3 linked regions of the Mus musculus genome follow. The protein of the gene in region 2 binds, or shares a complex with, the protein of the main gene of each other region. Links are inferred from orthologs where the notes say so. Each region holds a gene or a part of one and is shown on either strand. Other genes may lie near its edges.

Region 1 (7,622 bases), on a different chromosome or scaffold from region 2:
ATAACTCAGTAGGTTAAAGCTCTTGCCACCAAGCCTGACAACCCAAGTTCCATCTCTGGGACCCATTTGATGGGGAAAAAAAAGCCTCAACTTGTGCAAGTTGTCCTCTGACATCTACTCCCTTGTTAGGGTACATATGTATACCCATATGTATATAGGGTATATATGCACATACTCACATGGAATAAAAGTATAGGAAAATAAATATACAAGTCTACTTTTAAAAATGGAAGCGGGGCCTGAGACGATAACTCAGCAAGGACCTAAATCCTAATCCCCACAACCCAGGTAAAGTCTGGAAGGCCACACACACACACACACACACACACACACACACACACACGTTTGTGATTCCAGCATTGGGGAGCAGAGGCAGGTGGACCCTAAGAGTTCACTGGCAGTCAGATATCCAAAATAGCACGTTTCCAGCTCAGTGAGAGGCACTGTCTCAAGGCAATCAAGCAGAGAGCCATAGAAGAAACAAGCGATGGAAAGCATCCAGTGTCCTTTGCTAGCCTTCACCGGTGTGGGCATGCACAGGCTCTTCCACCCTCGATCAAAACAAACCACAAACCACCCATGCACAGCTAATATGGGCAAGTTTAGCAGGTAAAGGTGCCTGCTGCTAAGCCTGAATCTGATCTCTGGGAGGCCCATGGGGAAAAGAGAGCTGAGACTCCAGAGAGCTGGAGTCTATAAACTTCATACCCATGTTGTGGCAAAAACAGCCATGCACATGCATAACACACAAACACACACAAAATAGAGTCTGGTAATGACAGTCTCTGCCTAGCACGCATAAGGACCTGGGTTCTACCCCCAGCATCAGGTAAACTGAATATGGTACTGCTATCTTAGCACTACAGAGGTGGAGTGGAGCAGGAGCATCAGAAACTCAAGGTCATCTTCAGCTACAAGGCAAGTTCAAAGCTAGCCTGAGCTACCCAGAACCTTATCTCATAAAAATCTAACTAATACAAAATAAAACTTTAAAGAGTGATTACCTGAAAAACCAGAAATCTAAGACTTCAGCATAAAATGAAAGGAAAAACACGACTTGAAAGAGGATGGAGAAGTATTTCTGAACAACAGGGTAGGAGAAAAGATGGTATTCATAACATGAACTCTAGCACAGGGCGTGGTGGCGCACGCCTTTAATCCCAGCACTTGGGAGGCAGAGACAGGCAGATTTCTGAGTTCGAGGCCAGCCTGATCTACAAAGTGAGTTCCATCCTATGCCGGGCGTGGTGGCGCACGCCTTTAATCCCAGCACTTGGGAGGCAGAGGCAGGTGAATTTCTGAGTTCGAGGCCAGCCTGATCTACAGAGTGAATTCCAGGACAGCCAGGGCTATACAGAGAAACCCTGTCTCGAAAAACCACAAACTCTAGCGGGGTTAAGGGCATAACAAAAGCCAGGCAGTGGTGGGTGCACACCTTTAATCCCAGCGCTCAGGAGTCAGGAGGCAGAGGCAGTCTGATCTCTGTGATCCCAGCCTAGTCTACAAAGAGAGAGTTGCAGGATAGCCAGGGATACACATAGAAACTCTGTCTCAAAAACACAAGAACAAAAAAAAGAAATAAAAGTCTAACAAGAGGCTGGTGAGATGGCTCAATGGTTCTGACCACTCACTTCTGACAGAACAGAGTTCACCATCCACACTGGGTTGTCCACAAGGGCCTGTAACTCCAGCTCCTTTCTGACTTCCCTCCACAGCACCCAGCCCCAGAAATAAAATAAAGTCAGGTGTAATGATGTGCATTTAGTTCCAGCACTAGGAGATGGATCTCTGTGAATCTGAGGCCACTCCCATCTACAGAGTGAGTTCCAGGACAGCTAGAGCTACATAGTGAGACCCTGTCTAAAAACAAACAAAATAAAATATAAATAAATCCTTTTTTAAAAAAAAAGTGTAGTGATGGGAAGAGGAGAAAGACTGCAGGATTGGGGAGCAATTCAGGGCCTTCCCTGTACTGCCCTGGCCTCTCTGCTGCCCCCTGCTGAATTAGGCAGGCTCTACACTGAACCTCCAACTCCCATCCCTTCTGTCTACACTGCCAATTCACATCTTTCATCGCTTTGAAAATCCAGTTTAAAATATGCCAGCTCTCAGAGCCACTCAAAGCTGACCTTATTCTGTCTCAGGTTATACACTGTAATTACATACCTGGATCATACCACATCAAGTTGTACTGCCTTGAAACTTTGCAAAGGCAGCCAAAGACTATGTGAGTGAGCTGCCAAGATGGCTCAGCGAGCAAGAGCACTGACTGCTCTTCTGAAGGTACTGAGTTCAAATCCCAGCAACCACAAGGTGGCTCACAATCACGCATAATGAGATTTGATGCCCTCTTCTGGTGTGTCTGAAGACAGTAACAGTGTACTTAATAAATAAATCTTTGGACCTGAGCAAGCACGGCCGACCGGAGCAGAGGTCCTAAATTCAATTCCCAACAACCACATGAAGACTCACAACCATCTGTATAGCTACAGTGTATCCAGAGACTATGGGCACTGGGCACTGGATTCCCTAGGACTAGAGTCAAAAACTGTGAGCTGCCATATGGGCTCTGGGAATGAAACCCTGGCTTCTAGAAAACCAGCCAGTGTTCTCAACTGCTGAGCTGCTTCAGCCCCAACACTATTCTTTAATGAAGTAAGTGCTTCCCGTTATTGTGTACAATTCTTGTTTCCTAAGAAAGGTTCTCAGTCTCTAGCCTAGGCTGGCCTTGAACCCAAGTTTAGTTCCCAGTACCCATATCAGCAGAAAGCTCATAACTACCTGTGACTCTAGCTCCAGAGGATCTGATACCTCTAGCCTCCATAAGCACCCACACTTGTGTGCATATAGCCACACACAGGGGCACAAGTGCTTGTACACACACACATTTGAAAATAAAAACAAATCTTTAAACAAATAGATCAAACTGCAAACTGACCACCATAATATAAGATGGACCAAGAACGAATGAGGCCACAAACACATCCTGCCTCAGTCAGGACCGCTACCCTTGACAGAAAAGCAAGCAGATCCATTAACGTAAATACTCTAAGCCATGCTCCTCCCATCTGCTCTCAGCCATCTACTGACCTTGGCTGCCCAGGGTAGAGGCAGCTGTGTGGTAAGTCTCACAGTCCACACAAAATGTCCCTTGTTTCTCTGCTCCAAGCATCTCCAGTTTCTTGGTGAGGAGCTCCACTGTCTGCTGGAGACTCTTGCCCTCAGCCACAGGCATCTGGGACACACTGAGAAACACAACGCCAAGTCAGCAGGGTCCAGAGACACAGAGCTTCTGGCTAAGCCACTCAATTCCCCAACAGGTAACGGATCAGCAGGGCTAGGAGTTACTTAGACATCTCTGATCCCCACCCATCAGTCCCCAAGAGTTCCTGGAACTCACTTGGTAGACCAGGCTGGCCTGGAATTCACAGAAACTTGCCTGACTCTGCCTCCCAAATGTTGGAATCAAAGGCATCAGCCCTCAGATGGATTGCCTGACTCTTCCAAAGGCCCCAGGAAAGGCCCTGTCCTGTATCAACTTACTGCAAACAGGGAAACTGAACTCTAAATGACTCTGCTGTGATCTGTCTTCATTGCTCACAGGCATTCTTTACAGTAGGGTAGAAGTATGAGATGAGGCTCCTAGTGTCAACTGTGGCAAGAGCCTTCCTTTCACAGGGCAGACCTGTGGCCCCTGGCCTCCAAGCTTCTTTAACTGGAAAGAAGCACACCACTACCAAGACTTTTAAGTGCTGAGGCCGAGTACTTTAAAATTAATACCCAGAAAAGCACGGTGCCCAAACCTTACCAACTGCCTTTTTATCAAGTGAGACTTCAAACATGTTTAAGATAAAAGTCAATCAAAACTGTCTGAAGCCCAGGCGATGGTGGCTCGCGTCCGTTTCATCCGTGCGCTTGAGAGGCAGAGAGAGGCAGGTGGATCTCTGTGAATTCGAGTCCAGCCTGTTCTACAGAGTGAGTTCCGGGCCTCCCAAGCCTACACAGTGAGACACCCAGCTCGAAAAATTGTCTCTGCCTGGTACTCCGAACTCCAAACTCCCAACCGCTCCTTTCCTCCTACCTCTGTCACTAGCCCCAACACCTTAAAATGGCCAATTCAAAGTCTGTAACTGCAAGCAAAATAGAAAAGTCACTTTCTCCTCGCGCCACTCTTATCCCTTTCTGCGAACAACTCCTAATCTAGAAACCCTATTTCTAACCTTTGGGTGCTAGTAGCGACACTACAAGGCCTCAAGGACAGGAAGAGGTACCAAGAAAAAGGTACAACTCCTGGCGGGTCCTAGGGATGCGCTGCTCCCTTTGCCAAAGGGGTGTGTCTGGGAAGAGAGAAGTCCCACGCAGTGTCCCCCATCCACACAACCGGAAGACATCTTGGTCAGCCCCCCGAGGAACCGAGAACCTCGGTCAAAATCCCTTTCCCCGGGCCATCACAGGCCCACAGACACCTTCACGACCCTATATGCTCCGTCACCACAGAAGCCCTTCAAGTCCTACCACGTCACTCCCATAGCGAAGGATCAAAAGGTGGCGCCTCCAAACCCTCGAACTCAGAGACTCCAGACCTTCACGCGAACGGCGGCCCCCTAAACACAGGAAGCAGTCGTTGATCGACCGCCGGAAATGCGCAAATACTGAGCGCCGCGGCGACACGCCCACAGGGAGCGCCATCTCTGGTACCCAGTGGTGACATTTCTAGAACGTCATCGACTCGGCTCCGCCCCCAAGGCGTCCAACGGGTTGACAGGACGCCCTAGGCTACTTTCATGAATTCTGGAAAAGGGTGACTTGGACATCCACCTTTCTAATGAGATTACCTGAGAATTTGGGGGCTCCTGCTATAGGTCCCGAAGCTCTTCCTGAGAGTAATAGATGAGGAACTTCCGGCCTCCTAACGCTGGGGGGCACTGTGATCTCTCAGTGGCCTCTTGGCGATCGGAACACACAGCGCAAGCGCAGTATCGGCTTTTTAGCCGGCTTCACACGTGTGAACCTGGTGGGCAATTTTTTCGGCCAAAATGCCCAAATTCAAGGTGACACGTGGGGCCAGCAATCGGGAGAAGCATGCACCTCTGGCCGAGCAGATCCTGGCTGGGAACGCAGTGCGCGCGGGGACCCGAGAAAAACGGCGGGGGCGTGAGGTCGAAGAGGAGGAAGAGTATGTGGGACCCCGGCTAAGCAGACGGATTTTGCAGCAAGCCAGACAACAGCAGGAGGAGCTCGAAACTGACCATGGGGCTGGTGATCGGTCAGCACCACCGCGAGAGCGCGCCACGCGGCTGGGTGAGTGACAAGGGGTGGAGTCGTGAGTTGGGCCGGTCTGACACCCCATCAGAATACTTTACCGGCGTGTTCCTCCACTTCCACTCCTGAATTCCAGAATTCAGAGTTAAGCCAACGAAAAGTGATCTCTCACACCAGTTCTAGCATTATTTTATTTTAGGTTTTTTTCGAGACAGGGTTTCTCTGTATAGCCCTGGCTGTCCTGGAACTCACTTTGTAGACCAGGCTGGCCTCGAACTCATAAAGCTGCCTGCCTCTGCCTCCCAAGTAAAGGCGGGTACCACCACCACCTGGTGGTCTAGCATTTATTTATTTATCCTCTGGGCGTTTGAAGTATTTGTGGACTGCCTGCATAATGTTTTGAGCTGTGTTAAGTTTTTAGGCAGTTTTGATACAGAAATAAGATATTCGTTCCTCCTGATAACACCGGAAGTCTAGCTCAAGGCACCCATTAAATAGAGTTACATATTCCAAGCAGGAGTGGCGAGGCTCACCTGTAATCCCAGCACTCGAGAAGCAAGGCAGAAGACCTTCTTGGCTATATAGTAAATTTCAGATTAACGAGCCCTGTCTCTCAAGAGAGAGGAAAAAAGTGATGATATTTCTATTTAAACAAAAAAGCAGATGAACATTAATTCTACATGGTGGGTATCCCAGATTTCATGTCCTTCGAATAAGACCTGAAAAGCAAGTGGGGACTGTCCCTGTCCCAGCGACAGGGGAGGGGAAACAGTATTGTTTACGGGCTAAAAGGGGGAAGAGGGGTGGGTACTGCCACCTGTCTCACTGGGGAGGAATTGTTGTTCACCTCCCAGTTGCTTAATCTTCCATTCTTATTTCTCCTAAAAAGCAATATTGACACATTTGAACATGGTTTTGGGCCTACAGCAGCTTTTTCTGTTTCTTTTAGTTTTTTTTAAAGTAAGGGCTCATGGAGCCTGGGATGGCATCTAATGCTGTAGGGGAGGCTGACCTTGAACTCCTGATCTTGCCTCTGTTTTCCATGTGGTGGCATGATAGGTGGGTGACACCACACCTGCCCTTAAAATAACTTTTTTTTTTTAACTCTGAGACTGAGTCTCGTTAAGTTGTTCAGGCTGGACTTGAACTTGCTGGGTGACCAAGACAAGGTTTGACGGTCCTTCTGTGGTGTCGTCAGGGAATTTCACTTTGAGGCCATTTGTTTGACAGCTACTTCCAGTTTTTTCTCCCTCAGAGTTCGTCCAAGAAAGCTCACATCTTTATATCCAGTGGTCTACCTGACATCTCCAAGTTGAATACTAGTATCTAACTCTAGTAAGATTGCGTCCAAGCAGGGCAGTGGTGGCGCACGCCTTTAATCCCAGCACTTACAAGGCAGAGGCAGGTGGATTTCTGAGTTCAAGGACAGCCTGGTCTACAAAGTGAGTTCCAGGACAGCCAAGGCTACCTAGAGAAGCCCTGTCTCGGAGAAGGAAAAAAAAAAATAAAAGAAGAAGATTGCATCTAAAACAGAAGTTGTGACTTCCTTCCCAAACTTGCTCTCTGTTTGCTACTTGGAGGTTGTTAGCACATTAGCTCCACTGCTCCAGTCAGAGTCCAGGCTTCCTCTTTCTCACTTCAAAGTAAATCCTGGTGATGTTGTCTTTAGAGTATTTCAGAGCCAGACCACTTTCCATTCACCTGAGACACTCCCTGATTAAGCTACCAGGGTCTCTCCCCTGGATCACTGTGGAAACATCGTGCTTTGAATTCTGTGACCTCTGTGGTCCATTCAGCAGCTAGAGATTGATGGCGTCCTGTCTGGTCTGTCTCTGTTTCAGGTCTGACCACAAGCTAGGGACAGGATAAGATAATGCTCACAGCTGGTGAGGTCCATGCTTTGAGAGAGCATGAGCCCTGACTTCCACTCACAGCAGCTTGTAGTTTCTGAGCTACAGTGTAGAAGACAGATCTCTTGGGCCTACTGGGCAACCAGTCTAGCCTAATCAGCTATCCCCAGGTCCCAGTCAAATCCTGTTTCAAAAACAAGGTCATCAGCTCCCAAGAGTCACTTCCATGATGCAGGGTTCACTCATATACAAAAAGCAAATGATCACAACAACAAAACACCACACAAATGTCAGTGACTGTCTCCTGATTTTCTCTCTTTTCCCTACGTCGTATTTCATAGCTCTTGTCTTCCTTTGTTTAACATGTATTTTGTGTGCATGTGCGTGGCATGATGTGTGTAGAGAACAGAGGAAAACTCTCAAGAGTTGGTCCTCAGCTCTTCAGAACACTTGTTCTTGCAGAAAACCCAAGTTTGGTTTCTGGCATTCATATGGCAGGCTATAGCTGTC
Region 2 (7,828 bases):
CACTGGCCAGTTCCTGTGAGATAAACATGTCATCCTCTTCACAGTACCTGTAGTAGCTTAAATAACAATATTATTATCTTCACTTGAAAAATAAGTCAAAGGCTTCAAAAATATCTAGTCTATCTCTGAATCAAACTTTGATAGGCGAATTAACTATTCATAAAAACCCCATTCAGATCAGCTGCAGCATCCCTGTGCATCCTAAGACAGAGTTCCATCTCAATTCTGTCTTTATTCATCTTAGAGTATAGATCCTCAAAGTGTTTGATGAATACAATTAGCCCACAATTAACTAGGCTAAATTAGCTAGTGAACAAAAAAGATCAATTTTCCATACTAATTAGCATAAGCCACAACTATGAGCTAACAGTATTTAAAGAAATACCTTGAGAGACTTTTTTTCAATATAAATCATCTAACGCATCCAAGACAAAACCACCAGAGTACCTGCTCACACTCAACAAACACTTCCTGTCCTGAACACAAAGAGAAAGCAATGAATGGGTCCAGCCTGCTTCCCAGTGAGCAGGGCAAGGCCTCTGGCACATATGGATCTCAGGTACATTATTTCTCCTTAAATTATGAACTCATCACATGTACAAATGGCTCTTTAAAACGGTCCAGTAAACTGCTACACTATGCCTTAAATTGCTGTCTATTATGTACTTAAAAATATTTACTAGCAATTGGAGGTTAATATGGCAACCATTACCGGGTAGCAATTATTGCCATTAAAAAAATATAAATACTATAAGGCCATGTGCTACTAACAACAAATGCTAAACAGGAAACACATTGGCATATTATAAATATTTTCATTAAAGAAAATGAACCATCATGAAAAAGACGCTTTAAATGTACACTTCTTTTAAATACTAAAACTGCAAACTGGGAAGAAAAAGACCTTGTGCAGTATTTGGGCACTCTGCAACCTTGGCACGCCTTCTTCCCGGTTTCCACTCCACATGCCTCCCCACCAGCTTCTACTCACATCAGCTCAAGTTTTCAACAGTTACAACCACCTTCCTTTTCTCCCATAAGACAAAAGGAAATTCTGTCTGCAACAAATTACCCTAAAAGCTTCAGATACAAAATAAATGGTCCTCAGTAGGACCTTAAGTACTAAAGGGTGTACATGGGTTTTAACTCAGTGAGGATTTACAGCATTGCTCAGCTACCTACAGCCAGGGAGACTTTAAGCAAAACAGACATGAATGTGGAGCAAAAATCTAAAACTTAGAAGTGTCCCCTCCTGTCCCGGTACCCAGCATACTTAAGTCTAGCCTAAAGGGCACCAAGTCACTTTCTCCACATTATCTCAGAAGAAACACACAAAGATACACTGGGCATCTGGAAACTAGGATGTGTCTTCCCTTAAGGGTGAGTTCAGTGCCACAAGGTACACGGTTACATTTTCCAAAAATGAAGATTTAGCACACTTAATTTGATGGCCACCATGAGAAAAGTTTTGTGTCACAGAGGCCCAGCCAGGCATGGATTTCCTGCAGTGGCTACAAATCTCACAGGAGGAAGAGAGAAACAGCACAAGGGCCCATATCACAGCCATCCAATGGCCTTTCACAGGTTAGGGTGGGGGTGGAGACAGAAAAGCAAGAGTAGGAAACAGGACTCCAGGCAGTATCAGAAAACAAACTCAGTCAAAGCCTAGGAACAAGAATCGTAAGAGGCCTGATTGCTCAGTCAGCCTTGCTAAGCCCTGGCGATGGCCTCAGGATCTCAGGAAGTAGTGGGTCGCGTTCCCTCGGGGCTCGGCTCCAGCTTACACCTCCATCCAAGCTAACAGGAGCATGTGGGTGGGTAGTGTTCCAGAAGTGACTATTCTGCACTCAGAAACAAAACTGCAGGCCAAACTTTTCAAAAATACAAAATGCTAGGTACCTAGAGTTCTGACAAAAAAAAAAAAAAAAAAGATTTTGAAAGGATGCCTCTCCTTTGAAATCAACTATTCTATACAATGTTCTTTACGCAATGTATTCTCAATAAGTAAGATAGGTTGCTGCTGTGTGTATGCTCTTCAGAAAAAAATTCTCAATTAAGAATCCGAATAAAGGACTGTTGGCAGTTTATTCTTGGTTTTGGTTTTCCGTGGGTCTCTTTTATTTGGCTTGGTTTTCTAAGAAAGTTTAGGGCTGGAGAGATGGCTCAGGGGTTAAGAGTACTGACTGATCCTCCAGAGAATCTGGGTTCAATTCCCAGCACCTTCGTGGCAGCTCACAATGGTCTCTAATTCCAATCCCAAAGAACCCAGCACCCTCACACAAGCAGGCAAAACAGCGATGCATATAAAATAAAGATAAATTTCTTAAACAACTAGACAGCATTTACCTACCTCGAGGTATCAGGAAATACGTTACATTTTAAAACTAATCTAAGCCATTTCTGCATTTCAATGGAGTTACCCAAAAAAGTTAATTGTACTTTATATTCAAGTCAACTTTTTGGTTTAAGCGGAGAAATACCCAGAATGCAGTCAAAATCAAAGTCCAGAAATTAAAGAAAGAATCCGGACCATCTCATCTCTACCCCATAGATCCCTGAAGCTGAGAGTGGAGCTGTGCAGTCAGCAGGCATGCATTTGCCTGCACAACACACTGTGTATACATTAGCCACATGCACACAGGCAGCACTGCTCTCAGCCTGATGCACAGCAAGTGGGAGCTCTCCCCAGCTAACACCAGCTGACTTGGTTATTTTAATTACCTATAAAAGTGTCATTGCGGTCACCCAGTCACCAAATTGGTTGGGGGGGGGGGTAAATACCGCCTAGTCAATACATTTGCTGATCTATGAAGGTCCCTGAACCTAATAATAAATGACAGACAAGGGAAGGGGGGGGTGAAAAAAGAGACAGAAGTAGTTTTATCCTCACATCAAAAGATCAACGGTAAATTACCACAGGGGTAAAAGGAAGGACCCCCAACTTCTAACTGAACCTCGAAACAGCCTCAGGATAAAATTCGGGGTGATCAGGAATCAGCCTGCTTACAAGAGTGGGAGCAGGGGGACTGTGTCACTCCTGTGTCTTTGTAGGCCAAAATCATGCTTGATTTCTTCATCAGCATGAAAACAGAATGACACTTCCAAAGTTGGCAACAATTCCTCTTTCTCCACTAGTCTCCAAGGGGAGAAAAAGCATCTATGCCACCCATAATTAAATGTAACTAATTACAATTTGAACACTAAATTATTTATCCAGTGTAAACAAGGACTAAAAGGAAATAAAGCTTCTATCTGCAGCAGGGGTTCCAGAAAATAATTTGCAATAAATGCATGCTCTCCAAAAGTCAGCACCCTCCCCCCCAGCACCCTCCCCACCAAAATTGGGCACACAACTAAAATAAGTTGAGTTTTTAAGGCTAAATTAAATAGGCCGTTCAACCAATTTTCCAATTATATTCTACGCTTGAAACATAATTGCCTTACATCTGTTTACAAATCTTTGCTCAATATTTAAACAAATTCGTACTCTCCCGGGCACATAGCTACACACACACAGTAACTCAGGCACAAAGCGCGTATTTAAAGACCATGCACTCCCATTATCAGCGTAAGCGCCGGGTTTAACAACGCGAATGTTTTCAGAGCTAGGTAATACGACCCAATAAAAAGCAAAGATGGCATTTACCACCAAATGTCACTGCCACCGCCAGGAAAGAGTTGCTGGAGCTCTATACATTTTTAATTTCGACGAATCGAGCCGCCGTCGCCCGGTGCCAGGCTTCCAGAAGAACAATTGACACCCTAAATGGTTCGAGATTAAGGCAGGCGATGCACTTCCAAAGCAAAAGTTGTCAATTATCAGAGGCGAGAGCGGGAGAGAGGAGAGGCGAAGGCAGATAAAAGCGATGTTATCAAACCGCCCAGCTTGTTGCTCGTGTGTGTGTGTGTGTGTGTGTGTGTGTGTTCCTTGTTAAAGCAGAGAAAACAGTTTTTAAAGGCAGCGGAGGAGAGCGAGGAGCAGCAGCTTCCTCCACCTTCCGTGGGCTCCGAGCAATGGCTCTCCCGCTCTCCGGCGTAGTAAACCCCGAGAGGCGGGCGGCTGTCCGTGTTTACAACGGCGCGAGCGAGCTCCGGCTGCCAGAGTCCTTTTCCCTGACACCATCGCCTTCCATCAACTGTTTTCGGGCGAAATCGCAGGTGTCATTGTGGAAATATTAAAAGGAAAAAAAAGGGAAAAAAACGGAGAAACAGAGGAAGAGAGAAAGAAAAAATCAGAAGGCAGACGCCGGCGAGTGGGAGAGCAGCCGATCCGATCGGGAGAGAGAGAGAGAGAGAGGACGAGCCTGCAGCTCACCCGCGCCGGCGGCTGCACAAGGCAGAAAAGCCTTCCACATTTCGGGGAAGGAGGAGAAAAAAGAAAAAAAAAGAAAATAAGGGGGGAAGGGGAGGGGAGGGGGTGTGATTGCCACGGAGGTGGGCGCTCCGAGCGCGCCCCGGCGTCCGCAGCGCCCCGACTTCCCCACGCACGTCCACGCCGGGCGCCGCGCTCGCCGACGCCGCCAGGGCTCCGGGAGGAGAAAGTTGCGCGGCGGGGAGGTCGCGCCCCCCAACCCGGGCTCCCCCCCGCCCCGCCACTCACCAGCGAGAAGAGGTTGGAGTGACAATCCTCCAGGCTCGCCCCGTTCGCTACCCAGTTCGCCGCGGCGGTCATGGTCCTCCGCGAGCCCGGCCGCCAGAGCGGGGCATGTCGGAGCGGGCCGGGCCGGGCGGCGGCGGCGGCGGCTCCCGGGCACCAGGGGCGCGAGGCCCGCGCGGGAGGCCCGAGGGCGGCGGTGGCGACGACGGCGACGACGGCGGCGGCGGGGGGCGCGGGCCGGCAACGCCGCCCGCCTCTGTCGCGCAGGGCCGCCGCCTCCGCCTCCGCCTCGCCGCCTCGTCGGCCGCCTTGTTTATCTCCAAGCCGGCGGGCGACTCGCCCTCGGCCGCGCCGGCGCGGGAGGCACGCGAGCCCCGCAGCCGCCCCGAGCCGCCGCCGCCGCCGCCGCCGCTGCGCGAGCCCGCGAAGGGGGGGGTGCGGACGAAGCCAGCGGGCGACCCCGGCAGCCGAGCGCCGTCCCCTCCTTCCTCTTCCTCCCCACCCCCCCCCTCCTCCCCAGTCGGCCGCGCTTCTCCTCCCTCCCCGGGCTCGCTCGCTCTGACAGCAATGGCGGCCGCCGACCGCGGCTCGGCCCGCCATTGGCTGCGGCGCGTCACGTGACGGGCGCCGGCCGCGCGGGGGGCGGGGGAGGGGCCGCGGCGGCGGCGGCGGCGGCGGCGGTGGTGGCTCGCGGGAGGCGCTGCTGAGCCGAGCGAGCGCGGCCCTCTCGGAGCGGGGTGACGGAGCCAGGGAGGGAAGAGAAAGAGGTGCGGGCGGCCGTGGGACGCCGGGGCTGCGTGGACGCCCCGCCCTGGGCGCGGGCGCGCGTCGGGCGCGGGCCGAAGAGGGCCGCGGCTTCCCCGGAGCGGCCTCCGAGCCCCCCTGGGGGAGCATCTCGGGTCCCCGAGGAGCGGCGTGGGCCGGCCCGGCCTGGCCGAGCGAGCCGAGGAGTGTCTCCTCCTCGAAACCTCGCGCGCGACCGCCCGCCGGCCTGCCTGCCGCAGCGCACCGGGCGGAGGAGTAGGACTCAAAGAGACACAAAGGCAGCGAGCGAGGTGCTTGCCCGGGGTCGCGGGATTCGAACCCAGGCATCGGGAAGCCAGGGCTCGGGACTCACTGCCTCCCGAGCGCTGAGCTCCTAAAGCATCCCGGCTGCTGGAGCCCTTGGCGCCCACTCTGTGCGTGCACGCAGGCATTCCTTACATAGATGATCCCAGCGCTCTTAGGTGCCACATTCACACTGGGCTATGTGGAGGGGAGCAGGCCCTTCCTCCAGCTCCAAGCGGTCAATAATAACCAGCATCCCTTCTTCAGAGAGTAATGGGACTGGGAGAAGTGCTGATGCCGGAGACTGCCTTCCAGGACTTTTCGTCGTGGAAATAGAGAAAGGGAGAAAGTTGACTTGGAAAGAGGTAGAATTAGGCAGGCGTATCTCTATGAGTTCCAGGCCAGCCTGGTCTACACACTGTCTCCAAGAAACAAAGGAAGAGTAAAACGCTGGAAAGAGCGGTGGAAGCAAAATAAAGCGGGCACAAATCTGACATATGAATGGAGTTTTGAGACTACCACAAACCTTAAACCCTGGAATGAAGGTGGCCCGAACACATAGGTCATTTCACAGAGTCCTCAGAATCGGGGTGCAATAGCATCCCCAAGGTCCCAGTTACTGAGTGGCTCAACTCCTGAACTATCTGAATTCAGGAGGCTCTGGAGAGGATGCCAGGAGCTGGCTCTGCTACACCTAGCTGTGACCCTGCCCAGCAAAGTTTAACTATGCCTCATTTTCTAATCTGTCCAAAGCAAATCCTAATTGCTGACCTGCTGACCTCAAGCCAAGGTCACACATTTCCGTTAAGATGCTATTGGGGGAAGGGTTACAAGGGGGAGTTGCCCGACACTTTATGCACACATGTGGTATTACTGAGACCTGAGCAGTCAGATGGTCCATCACACCCAGAATCCACGCATACTCATCACACGCGTAGGCAAAAGGCTATGAGCTGGTCACAGTCTAAGCAAGTCATAAGGGGAAGGAAAAGGGGGGTGGGATGCTGCACAGAAGCAAAACCAAACAAATAAGAAACAGTTTACAGGGCTGGAGATTTGGCTCAGCAGTTAAGAGCACTGACTGCTCTTCCCAAGGTCCTGAGTTCAAATCCCAGCAACCACTTGGTGGCTCACAACCACTCGTAATGAGATCTGACTTTCTCTCTTCTGGTGTGTCTGAAGACAGCTATCGTGTGCTTATTTATATATATATAATAATAAATCTTTTAAAAAACAAGAAAAACAGTTTACAGATTAGGAATGCTAGCATTTCTAATAAAATAAATAAAATTATTTTTTAAAAAATGCTCAACTTTATATATTGCTAGGACCAGATATTTGTGTCCCACTTACCATTCATGTTGAAACACTACAAGGGACAGGTTTTCGACATGGTAGTTAGCACGTGGATGAATTCCTTGTCTTGAAATAAGTGCCCTCTGAAGAGACATAGGAAAACTTGAGTCCCCCCACCCCTATCCCCCTTTGCCATATGAGGTCATTACCAGGAAGGAGGCTGTAACTGGACCAAAATGGGTCAATACCTCAGCCTTAGTCTTCCCAGCTTCCAAAATTATACAAATAAGTTTCTGTACTTTATGTCATTTAGTCTACCAAAACTCAGTTAACACAAGCAATTCAAACAGACTCAGGTATACTGGAAGGAAATCAGAAGTTAAGATCACACTGCCAATGTCAGCTTTTACACATGCAGAAGGAAGCAGAGCCCTTGGGTCGTAAGGACATGAGTATAAAGCAGCATCAGAGCTTTGGATGCCCAGGCAAGAACTCTCCACTGGGGCTGCAGAGATGCTCTGTGGTTGAGAGCACTTGCTCCTCTTGCAGAGGACCCTGGTTCAGTTCCCAGCACCTATAACCTTCTGAAACTCCAGTTCCAGGCGACCCAACCTCTTCTGCCTTCCACAAACACCACACACATGCATACATGCATGTTGAGATAGGGAGGGAGGGAGAGAGAGAGAGAGAGAATATGGGAGCAAAACACACACATAAATTTAAAAGAATTTTTAAAAAATAACAATTACATTTACAATGGGTACACTCTTTGGCCCGGTAATCCTCTTTAGAGCAATTCAGACACAAATACAGGTGTATAAAGGCTTGGAATGTAACTAGTATGAGCTGCCGTGTTGTCTGTAGGGCAGAAACTGGAATCAACTATGT
Region 3 (7,724 bases), on a different chromosome or scaffold from region 2:
CGGCAGCAGCCTTACTTTCCACTATACAAACCCCTGCCAACTTGTGACTTGTGACATATCCTCTGACAATAAAGGAAAAAGTCTGTCATTTCGTCAATGTGGTAAATCTTAACAGGCTTTGCGACTTGGTCAGCAGTCTTTTTGATCCCCCTCCCCGCCCCCAGATTTTTCCATCCCCCCCCCCAAACAGACCAACTTGCCTACTACCATTCACAAAAACTGAATAATCACCCTAGTTATTGTATCATTACAAACTGAATAAGCATGCTAACAGCTAAGGATGTGGTTTTAGGACAGCAAGACACAAAGTAACCTGATCCTGTCTAAGGTCTTAGAAGGATGGGAGGAAGGTCCATCAGAGCTTGCTGCTGGACGTCCCAGATGGAGGACAGACATCGGCTACTTAAGTACTGAAAGTGCACTGGAGCATTGAGCTGCACAATGCACGGCTTCCACTTCTCTACCTTTTTTTTGCTTTCAAAGCTGTTTTGGATGACCGCTTTTTCCAAGGCCCAGTTGAAGTCTGGTTCACCTGTCAGTTCTTATGGAATCCATCTTGAACCCAGGAATGTTGGTCTAGCCTTCTCGGAAAATTCCCGTTTATCTGATTGCTTGATGGGACCATTTCCAAAACCTCCTAAGCTTTTTTACATTTCAGATGTACTTCACCAGAACCAGAAGGCTGGCTTAATATAATTTAAGCAGGTAGAATGTTTTGCAAAGTGGGATCTGAGCGCCAGCTGCATCAGAATCACCTGAGCCGTTTATTAAAATGCATTATTTGATTCCTGGGTACAATCAGAGACCAACTGAATTCAGAGCTGACAGAGCTCAAGAATCTCCATTTTAACTAGCTCCCCTGGGGATTTTTCCGTATGACTGATTGAGACATTTTTTAATTCAGTTGTGTTTCATAGCATTCACCTCCACATGGAGCTTCAATCCTGACTTCCCTTGAGTCTGATGTGCCTGCCTTTTGAAGCAGTCTGATAAACAAGACAAAGCCAGGCTCTTGGAGTCAAGAGACCTGGATTCTGATGTGTTCTAGTACATGCTAAGTATGTGATCTTGCAGGTTACCCAACTGTCATCTAGGCTTTATTGTAATAGCAAGATAAGGAGATCTTTGCAGGGATACTGACATTAAAGGGGGGAGGGGAGTACAATGGTGTCGGAAGGCTATCACTGATTACGATCGTCGCTGAGGCCCACATACACCGATGCCAAGCTGGATAGTGATGCCAGGCACTGTGTTGCCACTCCCACCCACCCACCAGAGTTTCTTCCTGCTTCTTTAAGACTAAAGACCAAATTATTCTCTTGAGCTTTTTCTAAACCATGTGCTTTCTTCCCACAAAATAACGTCGATACCTCTGCCTCCTAACTATCCGAAGCCTGCCAGCATGATAAACCTTAACCTCTGGCATAACTGCGAGCTGAGCCTTCTCTTTCCCAGTCTCAGCCCCATCACCCACCACTATGGTAAAAGCAGGCCCTTCAGTGTTAAAGGCACCTTGGGGCAAATACTGGCTCTGCATGTTTCTCCATTCCTGAACAGGGAAAGCAAGAATGACAATTTCCTGAGGATTCTACCTGTGTTAGATACTTAGAGAACTTAAACTTCCTGGATCCCACCCATTTGTGGAAGGAGGTTAAATGCCCCACTAAATGTGACACTTCACTTACGCCTCTGCAACACCTATTATAATCCAATGTTCATTTAGTCCCCACAGCTAAGGAGTCTCTGTTTTACCCTCTGCATCCACCCTAACCCTCAGCACAATTCTGGTTGCAGAACAGCACTTGCTTCTTCCTCTCTTTTGGGAGCCTAGCCTCTCTAAACATCACCCTTTCTTCTTGGTATTCTGTTTCTACCCTATTCACTCATAGGGTTTTCATGTGTGTAGTTTATCACATCCTCCCCATACACGGGTGTGTGTACTCATACATTATACATATATAAGATCACACCCGTGTCAGAGTGCACGTGTGCAGGTCAGAGGACAACTTGTAGCTGTAGAGCGAGCTCACCTACCTGGGAGTTCTAGCCCCAATACTAGCTGCACAACTATGCTTCTTTTAATAGTGGCACCTCAGTTTCCTGAAAAGAGGGATGATAATGGTGTTTGCCTTATAGGGTTGAAAGAACTGGTAACAGTAAAGAGCTCAGAATTGTGGCTGGCATACAGTAAGAATTCGACAAGTAGCCATTGCTATTTGTATCGTTACGCACATGCATCAACCTTCCCTCCTACAAGGCTATCCCTCTGGGGTCCTGGACACGCTAGCCAAATTTGGTACCTCCTCGGATCCGCTCGTTCAGTTGGAAGGAGTAGTCCTAAGGTATCTTTGCATGGCATGACACCTCACCTGCTCTGACTTCAGTTGTCTGCTCTGTACATGACAATAAATACTGCCAGATTCCCTGCTGGAGTCTGAATGTCAAAACATACATATAGGGTTCTTTGCATCTAGGGGGTGGGGGGTGGGGTGGGGGGGCGGGTGCCTCGTCTGCCTTTTCTGCCTTAACTTGTGATCCCCAAGCCACATCACAGAACAAATACTTTTATAAAGAAGGAAGCAGGGTCTGTCCTAAGTTAAGACTGGCCAGAGGGTTGTAGGGCTTTGCCAAGAGCACGAACGCTAGAGCGAAATCAACTCATGCTATTGATTGCATTCCAATAGATGAGATACAAAAAACCCCGCAAAGTCGGTCAGCTTCGGCGTGGCACAATGAAAATCCCAACTAATAACCAAAACACGAGTTTTTATCAGCATCACTATCGCTAACAAGTCTGTGGATGGGCGACGAAGATCAGGATGGCATCTGAGTAAACAAAACAGCAACGGCCTCCTTGAGGCTCCGGAGGGTGAAGGCTGCCACACGCCCGCCCTCGGGCCTCGGCCCCGCGCCCGCCCATCCCTCACCTCTGGCTCGGGGCGCTCCGAGGCCATCACACAGCCCTCCCGCGCCGGCCCGGGCCAGGGAGGTTGCTCCACTCCTGACCTCTGACCCGGCTAGTTCTGTACCGGGCAGGAACCGGAAGTTGTTGGGATGGTCCCGTTTTGAGTTTTCTGATTGGTGAGCGCAGCAAGCCGTGCGAGAAACCGGAAAGGGAAGTGGTTGCGCCCGCCGGGCCGCGGCAATGCAGGTGAGAAGCGGGTTGGGCCTTATAGCCGCTGGCGGGAGGGTGATTGGGCTGAGGACACCGGGGAGTTGGGGCTGTGAGCGGAGGGCAGAGGAAAGGCAGCGGAGCCAGAGAGAGCGAGGCCAGCTGCGGGAGGCGCGGGCATCGAGCCCGCTGATGTGAGAAGGTCGGAGGCCCGGGGAGGAAAGGCGGACTTGATTGAGCGTGGAAAAGGATCGTGGTGGCATTTGGGAAGGCTCGGGAAAGTAGTGGGCTGCCGCACGCCTCGATCTAGGCTGTTGGACACAGGCGTCATAAGGCTTCAGAAGGCTAAAGGGATCGTGGGCCTCCAAGGATGAAAACTAAGCTGTTTGTAATTCGAGGCTGTGGGTGGAACCCGGTGTCCAACCCCCTCAGTCACATAGTCAGGTTTGCAAATCAGCTTTGCATCATTCTTCCCGGCTTGTACCTCGTTGCTAAGGGCGGAGAAGTGGGGTAAATAGTCCTCAGATAGTCAAACGGAAACCCTCTGCCGCCTCAGCGTTTAAAATTGTCTAACACTCAGAAACAATGTGCAGGTTTCCTCGCCTTTGTCTTTCATTACTCTTTCATTACTCACTTGGCTTGTTGCATCTGATAAACCTACACTGTTTATGGGTCACCCGAATTATGAAAGAGACACGGGAATATTGGCACAAAGATGCACGTTGACTTTCCAAAGCACCAAATGCTATGGATAAACGGCCAGTTGGGGGACCGGGAAGGGGATTGCAGAGCTGGTATTCAGAGAAAACCTTACAGAGAGGCAACGTGTGAGATTGTCCAGATTGTGTGGTTGACAGTAGCTACACTCACAAGAGGATGACCAGAGGCACCCATGATATAATGAACTTCGGGAATTATTTAGGCTGTGTGTGCAGATAGCACCCCTGTTATCATGGCAAACCTTTCTGAGGTGAACTGAACTTCCTGAAAAAAACAAAACAAAACTGTGTCAATGCCAACACCACAGAGTGACACGAGGGATTCTCATCCACCCAAGGAAAGCAGCGCAGTGACAATAAGCAGTCGTGAGGTAGGCAGGCCACATCTATTTTCCAGAAGAGGAACTGACAAAGAAGAGTGTGCAGAAACCTGAGCACGTTCCTATTAACCCTACTGCAAATCTAAGAGAATGTTGTCTACTGGGAGAGGCAGTGTTTGAGAGCTGGGAGGAGGAGAGCATGGAATTAAAAAGGTGCAAGGCTAAGTGAGTTCGAAGCCAGTTTTGTTACAAAGACAAATCATGAGGTTTCAAGCCAAAGAGAATTAGGTCTGGTGCAATGACCTTCTTGAAGGACCACAGTGTAGGAGGGTTATAGAGGAATCAGTTAGTAGGAGGACTTCAGGCCAGGTGAACAGGTTGAAAGGTCTAAGGGTTGATGCTATCTGTAACCCAAATACCAAGATAGAAAACAATTTAGCTTTTCTGAATGTGTCACGCTCACTTGTATCTGAGTAACCAAACACACTGTTGATGCAGAGGGAGGAGAAGCAGCTTGAGGCATCATTAGATGCCCTGCTGAATCAAGTGGCCGATCTGAAGAATTCACTGGGGAGTTTCATTTACAAGTTGGAAAACGAGTATGACCGGCTGACCTGGTAAGGATTGCCAGGACAAGCTGGGGAGGGATCCATGGGTGGTGGGGCCAAGCCCCCTGGCTGACAGGACATCTCCAGCGATGTACCCATTTATCAACTTGCAAATATCCTTTTTGATTTGGAAAGAACTAGGTTGCCCAACATTGACAAGTTTAGTTTGGCTTAAAGCCTCCATGGCAAGGAAGTAGAAAAATGTCCAGTTTCCCAACCTAGGCTGTTTCTAGGTTTTAATTCTTACGCTTTGGCTTCCTTAGTGAGGAGGCATTTCCTCAGTGGAAGACCATTATAGCTCCATTTATGGTGGCTCTCCTTCCACACATGAGGCTGGATCTGAGATCCAGCCTTCTGGAATGATAGAGTCTGTTACTACATTAGGGAGGAGGCTTTACAGACTTACTACAGTGTAACCACAGCCCCTGTTTCCACTGCTCCCAAACCCAGTCAAACAGTGGGTTGCCTTTTTTCTGTATCTATGTCAAAAATTGAAAGTGTGTTCCTCTTTCCCAATTCCATCTCTACTAGCAAATCTGGTTCTTGCCTATGCCAGACACAGGGCTGCGAGTCTTCGGGGTGAGTCTGAGTGTTGCAGCATTAGGACTTTTAGAGGTTACTTTGTAGGGAGAAGTAACTCTGGTGACTTCTCGCCACCTCCAGGCCCTCTGTCCTGGACAGCTTTGCATTGCTTTCTGGACAGTTGAACACTCTGAACAAGGTCTTAAAGCATGAGAAGACGCCACTGTTCCGAAACCAGGTCATCATCCCTCTGGTGCTGTCCCCAGACCGAGACGAAGACCTCATGGTAAGACACACAGTATCTTGTTGACTGGATCCTCTGTGTGGCCATGAAAGGTGAGGGCTGCCGTCTGGAAGACTTGTTTTTATCCTTCTGGGGTCAGGAGAGTCCCCCTTAAAGAATGAAGTGAAAATCAGGGCCTATCTCACCAAGTCCACGACCTTCCTTTTCCAACATCTATGTCAGGCAAAAAGAAAAAAGTCTGTCCTGCTTGCCTGTGACTTTGCTGCAGTCTTTAAAATGTGGGGTTGAGAATTTAGCTCAGTGGTAGAACAGACACAAAGTCCTGGGTCCCCAGAATAGGGGTGGAGGTAGAGATTCACAAAAGACCAAAACAAAACAGCAAAAAAAGACAATTTCAGTGTGGTAGTGGAGGGTGGGATTTAGCTCACCCTAGTTCTGATGGAGTGAGTGAGTGAAAAGAGAGTGTCACAGAAAGCTATCCCTACCTCCGGTTGTGTTGTCTCTGGAAATGCGTTTTCTGATGGAAGGGAAGTGGGGTTAGAACTGGCCTACTTGGATAGCACAATAGGATGAATCCAATCTATATTACAGCGTCAAACTGAAGGACGAGTGCCTGTTTTCAGCCATGAGGTCGTTCCTGACCACTTGAGAACCAAGCCTGACCCTGAAGTTGAAGAGCAGGAGAAGCAGCTGACAACAGATGCTGCCAGAATTGGTGCTGATGCAGCTCAGGTTGGACTGAGTCACTGGCCTGCTACCTCATCCTCATCCTTCATAAGCAAGACTTTACCAAGGCTGTGTAGGGGTGTGGGGTTGCTCACAGCTAGGCTGCCTGTGGAAGAGCACAACGAAGATGCTTCCCTGAATCATTGCTAATCACTAATCAATTCATGTGTGTTACAGAAGCAGATCCAGAGCTTGAATAAAATGTGCTCAAACCTTTTAGAGAAAATCAGCAAAGAAGAACGAGAATCAGAGAGCGGAGGTAAGGAGGGATGTGGCAGCACAGAGCGAGAGCTGTGTAAGATCACAGCACAGAGGGAGAGCTGTGTAAGATCACTAAATAGCAATGGCCTGCCCAATTGTGAAGTAAGGACATAAGAATGAACTGCTGGGGCTGGAGAGATGGCTCAGTGGGCAGAGGTGCCTGTTGCCAGGTCTGGCCTAAGTTTGATCCCTGGGACGGACCTACATGGTGGAGGGGGAAAGCCAACAAGTTGTCCTCTGACCACCAACACAAAATTAGAAGTTACTTTAAAAAAGAAGAGTCGGCTCCCCTCCTGAGCAGAGGCAGCCACCCTCTCCTGTCTTTCCCAGTAAATCTCTAGTGTGGGGTTTGTTGTGCCCTGTGACTTCGTAGTGGTCCTTGGCTCCTGAGCAGGAGGACACCTTTCCTCTCAGGACCAGAACACATTGGTGCCATGACTTGTGTAGGCTCTCATGGTGCCTGTGCTTCCCCTTGGGGTCTGAGCCACGCTGGGGGACATGGGAGCAGGGTGGGGGAGAAGAATGAACCGGTGAGAAAGGGATTTGTCTCCTGTTAGTAGTTCATCTTTACGACTATCCTTAAAGCACATAGAAGAAATAGACAAAGTAAAAGTTTAAGGCCGGGCGTGGTGGCGCACGCCTTTAATCCCAGCACTTGGGAGGCAGAGGCAGGTGGATTTCTGAGTTCGAGGTCAGTCTGGTCTACAAAGTGAGTTCCAGGACAGCCAGGGCTAAAGTGTTTAAGATAGGTTTGGGGACTTTTAGCTCTTTGATGGGGCTAGGGGGATTCTAGATATTGCTGCAGTCATAATTATAATGGGTTTAGTCCAGAGCTGGACACATACCTGAGGGCTCTTGCTTTTTTTTTTTTTTTTACAGGTCTCCGGCCAAACAAGCAGACTTTCAACCCTGGAGACACCAATGCCTTAGTAGCAGCCGTTGCCTTTGGGAAGGGGCTATCTAATTGGCGACCTTCAGGTAGCAGTGGTCCTGGGCAACCCGGTCAGCCAGGAGCTGGTACAATCCTTGCAGGGGCCTCAGGATTACCGCAGGTTCAGATGCCAGGTGCTCCAAACCAGCAGCAGCCAATGCTCAGTGGAGTTCAGATGGCTCAGGCAGGTCAACCAGGTAAGGTGACATGGACTGAGTGCACAGGAGTGTGGGAATGAGCTAGATCATCTAAGCCTCCTTCATCTGCACCCTCCCCTTAGA

The links. The genes of interacting proteins can lie anywhere in the genome.
Region 1: Med13l (region 2) and Med20 share a complex: the UniProt entries of both Homo sapiens proteins name them as parts of the mediator complex. The link is inferred for Mus musculus from reciprocal best matches to the Homo sapiens genes MED13L and MED20.
Region 3: Med13l (region 2) and Med8 share a complex: the UniProt entries of both Homo sapiens proteins name them as parts of the mediator complex. The link is inferred for Mus musculus from reciprocal best matches to the Homo sapiens genes MED13L and MED8.

Annotation. Positions count from the first base shown.
Region 1 is NC_000083.6:47,608,586-47,616,207, reverse strand, and holds the start of Med20 (mediator of RNA polymerase II transcription subunit 20), read right to left. Parts: upstream 4,624-7,622; 5' UTR 4,530-4,623; coding exon 4,516-4,529; intron 3,246-4,515; coding exon 3,091-3,245; intron 1-3,090. Other genes in the region: Gm20517 (predicted gene 20517), read right to left, coding at 3,091-3,245, 4,516-4,529; Bysl (bystin), read left to right, coding at 5,037-5,301. UniProt on the Homo sapiens protein: Component of the Mediator complex, a coactivator involved in the regulated transcription of nearly all RNA polymerase II-dependent genes.
Region 2 is NC_000071.6:118,557,630-118,565,457, reverse strand, and holds the start of Med13l (mediator of RNA polymerase II transcription subunit 13-like), read right to left. Parts: upstream 4,740-7,828; 5' UTR 4,673-4,739; coding exon 4,601-4,672; intron 4,597-4,600; exon of another isoform or gene 3,647-4,596; intron 1-3,646. UniProt on the Homo sapiens protein: Component of the Mediator complex, a coactivator involved in the regulated transcription of nearly all RNA polymerase II-dependent genes.
Region 3 is NC_000070.6:118,406,236-118,413,959, forward strand, and holds the start of Med8 (mediator of RNA polymerase II transcription subunit 8), read left to right. Parts: upstream 1-3,101; 5' UTR 3,102-3,145; coding exon 3,146-3,151; exon of another isoform or gene 3,152-3,314; intron 3,315-4,649; coding exon 4,650-4,768; intron 4,769-5,290; coding exon of another isoform or gene 5,291-5,338; intron 5,339-5,422; coding exon 5,423-5,567; intron 5,568-6,116; coding exon 6,117-6,257; intron 6,258-6,428; coding exon 6,429-6,510; intron 6,511-7,391; coding exon 7,392-7,640; intron 7,641-7,724. Other genes in the region: KICSTOR complex protein SZT2, read right to left, coding at 2,928-2,954. UniProt on the Homo sapiens protein: Component of the Mediator complex, a coactivator involved in the regulated transcription of nearly all RNA polymerase II-dependent genes.